Danio rerio: one gene and its partner. The protein of the gene in region 1 binds, or shares a complex with, the protein of each later gene. Links are inferred from orthologs where the notes say so. Each region holds a gene or a part of one and is shown in the gene's direction. Other genes may lie near its edges.

Region 1 (4,106 bases):
CTTTAATAACAGCTAGAAATGTTGTTCATTATTGACATTTAGTTTTTAATTTCAGTAAAATGTGTTTCAAATTGCGATTAAACTCACTAGAATGTGTCCTATTGAGTTTTATTTCTTATTCTGAACAACATATAATGACTTGATTACATGCTTTATAAAAGACACCAGCTAAAATGACATTAACATGCCCAAAAATGATTGTCAGGTACATTTAGACCAAGAACCATTTGGTCACATATTAAAAGACACATTCTCCTTATTAATATAATTTTATAAAAGTATTATCAGCAAATACTAAATAGATAAATCATATTAGCAGCCAATGAATATGAAAGTACAACATTGTTTACGAGCAATTAAATAGTGCTAATGTTGTTTTGAAGTCATATTTAGATGCTATTTAAGAACCAATATTCAAATTTACCAAGTAAACAATATAAGGGCTATTAAAATGAACAAATGTGCGTTTATTAAACCAACTTTACCTCAATAACAACTATAAATGTTGTTCATTATTGACATTTAGTTTTTATTTCAGTAAAATGTGTTTCAAATTGCGATTAAATCCATTAGAATGTGTCCTGCTGAGTTTTATTTATTTATCTGAACAACAAATAATGACTTTCATGCATTTTTAACCATGATTTACCTAAAACACGCACTAAAATGACATTCACAACAGTTTTAACAGCCCAAAAATGATTGTCAAGTATATTTAGAACTAGAACCATTTGTTGACATGTTAAAAGACTATTTCAAGGCGCATTGTAAAGCACTAAAATGCTCATTTATTATAATTATAAGTGTTTTCCTCTACTAGTGAGTGTTGTTGTGGACAGAAACCTGGCGATCTGATTCCTCCTGATGTGCCTCAGAAAACCGTGGCTCATGTCCAAACGACCACCGGGCTTATATTTAGCATTCTCCCCCTCCCCATCGCGGATGATCTCCATACTTTCTGCTCTTTTAATGTAATTATTCCTGAAATGAATTCATCTTTAGCACATCTACAAACATTCTCTTTATAACATCTCGCCGCTGCTCACTGGGGGTCGGTGATTCAAAAGCGTTGTCCGACAAAAAGCGACACTCGAGTTGGTTTGTTTTCCATCCACAAAACAATTTAGCTCGACTTTTTTGGCTCTTCTTTGAAACAAATATCCAGTTTTATGTATATAGTTATATGATAAGCAATGAAAAATCAAGATAACACCATTGGGTGTTTGTTTACGCATTCTGCTGTGTTTTGGTCCAGGGGTTTAGTGCTTGTCGGCCATCCTTTTCTACAGCGGAAGTGCAAGCGGGAGTTTTGTAACGCGTTCACAGTGCGTTCATTCAGCGCTGAATTTACTTGATTTATAGTTGCTATTTACCTTAAAATATGATCAGAGGCGTGAAACGGGAGAGGGATTTTGATGAAGATGAAGAGGAAGGTATGCCTGGAGTGTTTATGAGCTTAGCAGTACTTGGTAACGTTAGCTTTTGTAGCACACGACACAGATATACACAGATTATCGTGTCTGTTTTGAATTGAGTGTTGATTTTGGCTTTTCAAAGCTCTCTTTCTTAAAATAAAGCCCTCAAATAGACGTAAGAAGGTCCACACAATGAAAGTCGTGGCATTAAATCTTAAATAAATGTCTTGCATAAATAATATTTTGGTTTCCAGGTCAAAGATCTAAACCTAAGTTATTTCATTTAAGATACGTTTACTGGAGATGCAAAATGAAACACAGGTTTGTTATTGAGGTAAAGTTGGCTTTATCTTTGCACATTCGTTCATTTTAACGCTACCTATATTGTTTACCACGATAATTTGAATATTAGGTCTGAAATAACATGCAAGTATGACTTCAAAACAACATTTGCACTGTTTCATTAACCGTAAACAATGGTGTAGTTTGATATTCATTGGTTGCTATATGATTTCCCTATTTAGAATTTACAATAACCACTTTTCTGAAATTATATTTCTTTTAATTATAGTGGTATGCTACAACCGAATGTTTAATTTACACAAAAGTCATTTGAAACGATAGCAGACACTGCACTTGTATTAAATATGACTGCTATGAATATTTTTCATATATAGACACGTTAAGGATTATTTCTTTTAAAATACAATATATGTGTCAGACAAAACTGGTTTAAATGTTGTTTATTATTATTATTATTATTATTATTATTTCAGACTGAATATTTAAACTAGCATAGTAAACGATATGAGGACCGTTAAAATGAATGAATGTGTGAATAAGTAATAATAATAGTAATATTAACAGCAACTTTTGTATTATTCCTCTGTTACTATTTTCGAAAGTGGTGCAGCTGTAACCCAACAATGTTTTTGAGTAAATACCAGCTCAATTATAAAAAAAAAATTCTCTTTATAAAAAGCTATGAGGGCATTTCTCTGATGCACTAAAGTCCCAGTTCTGCCTAAAGTTTTCTAGAGCTACATTAGTTTTATTTCATTATATATATAATAGATAAATATACTGTAGATATAATAGATAAATATACTGTAGATATAATAGATAAATAGATACATTTTTTTGTCTTCTGGAAAGTGGTAATTGCCAAGCTCTAAACCATGGGTGCCTTTTTATTATGAAGTGCCAAAAACCAAACTTGATTGAGGGCCGTGAGCTGAAGGTAAATATATCAAACTGTGTTACTAAGTTGCCGTGGATAATATCCTCATTTATTTAAAATTAAATAAAAGGTATACTTTAATCTTAATAACTATTGCTATATATATATTATTATTCATTTTCTTTTCAACATAGTCACTTTATTAATCCGGGGGGGGAGGGGTGGGGGGGGGGGGGGGGGGGTGTAACCAATAGCGTGAGAGATATCAAGTAAACCAAGTCCTGCCCCAAGACTGACAAAAATGCACAATTTTAGGTGCAAAGATGCATTCTGCATAAATGTCTCCTAAATATGCGCATGCGGTGAGGATTTTGTTGTGAAAACAGTGAAAATTTATGCACTCGCACAAATGCTTCCTAATATTTTTAAGGTGGCTTAGATAAAATTTCGGACGCATATGCGACCAAACGATCAAACCCTAGCATCTTTACTTGTTATTATTTCTTCATAAAAATTATAAAATAAGGAAGTTATCATCAATCACAATACAAATTACACTGAACTCCAAACAAACTCTCGTCTCCTCCACCAGCGGTGGGGAAAAAGCCATTAGAACGGCACAGATCACTCTACCTATTCATGTCTGCCTAGTCCCACGGGAAAAAAGTGATTGACAGGTGGTAATTTTTGTGTAACTTTTATTTATTTATGGTTTTGTTATAAAGACTATGTGGGTCAGGTAGTTAAAACGGTAGGCTACAATTAATTAATTTTTTATGAATAAATTGATATTTAACAACAACCGCCTACGACGACGATGGATATCGTTGGAAGTTGGTTGAGAAATCTTACCCAACAGAGAACCACATGACAACTGAGAGCTGTGATTTGTTATGAATTCTTATATTTTGTCTTTGGCTAATTTTAGAAGTGCGTGTGAAAGTGGGTCGTGGTTATGTTGAAGATCGCAGAAGCCGCCATTGTCCATATCTCGACACAATCAACAGGTTTGTTATTATGATTTGTATATATCTTTATTGCTTTATTGTTGTGTGCTTTGTAGGGCTGCACAATATATTATTAAATTGAGGTAAAGTTCCTTATATTGGCATGTTTGTTATATATATATATATATATATATATATATATATATATATATATATATATATATATATATATATATATATATATATATATATATATATATATATAGTATATTAGCCTGTATTGTTTACTAGGCTAATTTAAATATTAGGTTTAAAATTGTGTTCAAGTATGACTTCAAAACAACATTAGCACTATTTAATTGACTGTTAGCAATGCTGTACTTTGATAGTCATTGGCTGCTAATATGATTTCCCTATTTAGAATTTGCAAATAATACTTTTCTAAAAAGATGTTATTAAGGGAGAAAGTCAGAATGTGCCAATATAAAATCAACTTTACCTCAATTATTGTTTCAGCATTGGCTGAACACAGAAATTACATTTTATGCAGATGTGCTTCACTAC
Region 2 (4,348 bases), on another chromosome or scaffold:
ATTATTTGATTTGAAATTTAGAAGAAAAAAAGAAATGTTTTCAAACATGTACAGACAAATACAAATATAGAGTTTTCAAGGGGTCTCTTTATTTTTTCCCATAGATAGATAGATAGTTAGATAGATATTTATAAAATTTTATATAAGTTTCATTTCAAAAAGTTTATATTTTTGAAATAAACACCAAACAGTATTAATATTTGACTCAGTGAAGAACCAATAAGAAATTTTTGTCCTGAGGTTGACTAAATCATCAGTAATTATTGACTTTAGCCTGTCTATCACTTTAACAACTGCAACATCTGAACATTATTATGAATTATAACCTCTTACCGTGGGTTTTCTTTGTCCTGTTCGCAAATGCACTGTTCAAGTAAGTCTATAAATTTTTGTGGGAATGATGTGAAGTCTATTAAAAGCCCTTGTTGTACTTTTAAGCTGTGAAGAAGAGCAAATAAAAACGATTACACAGAATATAATCACATAGAAGCCTAATAGCAAAGTGTTGAAAATAAATATGGCTCATTGATGAAATGACACTTTTAATACCACAATACCTTTGAAAATCCTCCTCTGATATGATAAGGTTGTATAAAAAGTAAAGATCAGTATCATCAGTCAGCCGTACAACTAAATCCTGTTGATCAAAAATTTAAAAAAAGTTATAAGACCACATAAAACATGCTTAAAGGCATAAATATGGTTGTACACATGTTAATAACAAACCTTTCTGTGAACAGGGCTGGATGGTAACTGCAGTTCAATGCTAACGCGAATAACCGAACGCCTGTAGTAACAAAAACAACATATATAAACACATATAGACCCTTACAGACTTCGAAATGTTAATAATTACAGACAAAATAAAGCCAAAATTCATACCATAAATCAATTTAAGTTAGGCATTGTGTTCAAAAACAAGACAATCAACACAAACCTCTCATCGGTATCTTTACTCTTCACCAGCACCTGCAACCGCTTGTTAAAAAGTAATTCCGTCATTCCTAATTCATTCACAAAGCAACGATAATAATTAAAAATCGTGTAATCCTGTTTTAAAGATGTTATTTAGGTTGTTGAAAGACTCATTTGTTTTTCGCGCTTCACTCCCGCGTTTGTCCGTTTCCAACCGGAAGTGAGAAACACTTCAACCTAATCACGCGTATCATCGTATTTCAACATGTTTTTGTTTTTATAAATCGTATAATATAGATATAAACATTTAAAGCTGTATATACTGTGTAGTTGTGCGTGAATAAAGCTGATAAAATTGAAAACATTTGATATCAGAGTTCACCTGCGCGCGTTGTGATTGGCCGAGAGGTAGACGTCAAACGTGAACCCGGAGTGGGCGGGGCGTAGAGGAGTTTTGAACATGGCGGTGAGTAGCGCAAACGTTTCCACACCGTTCACATTATAAACACTTTTAAGGACAAACGGCGTTATAAACAAACATATAAGCACCTGAATATATCCTACACTCTTGATATTTATGTTGTTACACATTAGGGTGTGCTGGTAATTGTAAATGTGATGTGTGGTGTATTTTTGTGCTAAGCTACGAGTCTGATATTTATTATAGAGGCCTGGAGATTGTTATATAATATGTTTTTGGATCCTCAGGACAAAGACAAGAAAAAGAAGGAGAGTATTTTTGATTTGTCGAAATACATCGACAAACATATACGTGTAAAGTTTCAAGGAGGTCGCGAAGGTGAGGGAGTTGCTTTATGAAATTAATTATGAATTTAAATGTTTCACATTATGATATTTAAATGAATTGTGGTAAATTTGACACTAGTGTTTCCTATTTTCAGCAAGTGGCGTCTTAAAAGGCTTCGACCCGTTGTTGAATCTTGTGTTGGACGGCACCATTGAATACATGCGAGGTAAAATGTGCTAATGTAAACCGAATATGTACCAAATTATGTTCTGCATTAAATTTCTCACAGTATTAATGTTAGTGTGGTTTGTTTTGAACAAATTTTAGTGTAAATGCTGCAATTTAAATTATAAAATTAATCAATTTATTAAATTATAAATTATATAAAGCAACATACAAACTCTTGTGGGTTGACTGATATATAAATGCATCTAAATCAACCCAAAGAGGACATGATGCCATGATATTAAACATAAAAAGGCAGAATGCTCCAGCATAGCTATTTTTGTCAGCATAACAATGTTGCTCCTTACCGTTCAGTTCAGGCATCAGAAACAGTCTCAGCAGATCTTCATTTGGGTGTGTGTGAGCCAGAGGAAATTCTGGTGTTGGTTTGACACATTTAATATGGTTTTCTGAGAGAGTTTAAATGCACTTGAAGTTAAATAGTTCACCCTAAAAAAATGAATACTGTCATTGTTAGGCATGGGCTGGTATAAGATTCTGACGGTTGATAACCTTAGGTTGAAATATCACAGTTACACAATATCATGTTATTGTACATACTGCTCCAAAATATTTTATTTTTAAATGTCTGAGTAAAAAAAAAACTTTTCCCCCATTGAACATGGTTTATATTTTTTAACATTTAAAATATTTTGAAACTATAATGTCAGGCTAAATAATTTATTGTTTATTAATTGTTGAATGTCATTGACTTCTGCTGTCTTAATTAGTTTCAAAAGCACAGATTTCTTTTCAACTTGAAAAGGCATCTTTGGATATCTTTCTTTTCTTTGGATATAAAAAAAATCATCTACACTGTTCAGCTCTACAGCATGCTGGATGTTGGTTTATAAGAGATTTGTTTTTCAGATGTTTCCTGAATCATGGTAACTTGTGATGTGGATGGTCCTTTTCTATTGTTGCCCAAAAAAACTCAATAAAATAGTCGTAAAAAAAAAACTTACAAATACCTTGAGAACGGTATAACAGACAATTTTAACGTTTTTAAAACCTTGACTTTTCAAACCGCGATAAACCTTAAAACAGTTATTGTCCCACGCCTAGTCATTGAATACTCACCCTTTATATGTTTCAAACCTTTTTGAGTTTCTTTCTTCTGTTAAACACAAAAGAAGATATTTTGAAAAATGCTGAAATCTAGTAGTGAAACGGTTAGTTTTCGGATAAACTATAACTAAAAAAAAAACAACAACAGGTAAATAGAAAAACACAGATTGAGAAAGCTGAGACACATATTCCTGAATGTGATAATATGCACCGAAATGTGTCGGGGGACCTGAAAATGTAATGAACCCGACCCTCTGCTTCCTGTTTAGAGGTGGTGGTGTTGTCAAAGAGCTGAGTGTTTTACTTTAACGTCCTAGTTGTATGATTCCCTGGTGTTTGGATAATTTTAGCTTTAAATGCTGACAACACCACTGTCTCTAAAAAGAAAGCTGCCCCAAAGGTCCCCCAAAACATTTCTATGTGCATATTTTGGAAGTTGCATTCACGTTACTAAACTAATGACGATTAATTCTCAGTTTGTAAGTGTTTTTCTATTTGCATGTTTACACTGCATTTGTCCTCTCTAGGGCACCGTATTTAACTGATTAAAAAATGTGTGCATGCACATACAGCAAACAAGTGTATCTAAACATACAGAATTGTTTTGAAAATTTAAAGTCACAGAATCCACCGCGGTGACTGAAGCTCTGCACATGACTTTTGGTCAGCGGAGAAATTAAAATGGTCGTGCCCAACTGAGTCTGGTTCTCTCAAGGTTTTTTTTCTTCACTCCTATCAGGTGAAGTTTTTTTCCCCTCTCCGCTGTCGCCACTGGCTCGCATGGTTCAGGATTGGTAGAGCTACGCATTGATGAATTTGCTCTTCAGTGTTTGAACTCTCAGTAATGATTTTAAATCACACTGAACTGAGCTAAACTGAACTGAACTGAACTTAAACACTAAAATCTGAACTACACTGTTCCGGTTACTATGACCATTAATGTGAAGCTGCTTTGACACAATCTACATTGTAAAAGCGCTATACAAATAAAGCTGAATAAGCTGAATTGAATGTCATAAATGCAGCTGCTTTTCTGTCAAAAATCAGAGTATGAAAGCTTGACAAACTAGGACTATGTATAATTTTTTTGTTTGGTCCAAACAAACTGACTAAACTACAAGTGTTAACACATCCGAAAATACGAAAAAACCCCGCCCTAAGAGTAAAGACATCTGTGTTTGACTATTATCATTATATCAATGGTTTTATATGATTTCTGACCACATTTATTTCCCACACAGATCCTGATGACCAGTATAAACTGACCGAAGACACCAGGCAGCTGGGTCTGGTTGTTTGTCGAGGGACGTCTGTTGTGCTCATCTGTCCACAGGATGGGATGGAAGCTATCCCGAACCCTTTCATCCAGCAGCAGGATGGATAATATTCTCC

Evidence for each region. The genes of interacting proteins can lie anywhere in the genome.
Region 2: usp39 (region 1) and lsm7 share a complex: the UniProt entries of both Homo sapiens proteins name them as parts of the U4/U6-U5 tri-snRNP complex. The link is inferred for Danio rerio from reciprocal best matches to the Homo sapiens genes USP39 and LSM7.

The regions. Positions count from the first base shown.
Region 1 is NC_133180.1:74,850,164-74,854,269, forward strand, and holds the start of usp39 (ubiquitin carboxyl-terminal hydrolase 39), read left to right. Parts: upstream 1-1,306; 5' UTR 1,307-1,381; coding exon 1,382-1,433; intron 1,434-3,523; coding exon 3,524-3,602; intron 3,603-4,106. Other genes in the region: si:ch211-283h6.4 (UPF0561 protein C2orf68 homolog), read right to left, coding at 844-953.
Region 2 is NC_133197.1:10,401,046-10,405,393, forward strand, and holds the start of lsm7 (U6 snRNA-associated Sm-like protein LSm7), read left to right. Parts: upstream 1-1,360; 5' UTR 1,361-1,375; coding exon 1,376-1,381; intron 1,382-1,623; coding exon 1,624-1,714; intron 1,715-1,817; coding exon 1,818-1,889; intron 1,890-4,197; coding exon 4,198-4,340; 3' UTR 4,341-4,348. Other genes in the region: sass6 (spindle assembly abnormal protein 6 homolog), read right to left, coding at 334-438, 558-637, 727-787, 938-1,002. UniProt on the Homo sapiens protein: Plays a role in pre-mRNA splicing as component of the U4/U6-U5 tri-snRNP complex that is involved in spliceosome assembly, and as component of the precatalytic spliceosome (spliceosome B complex).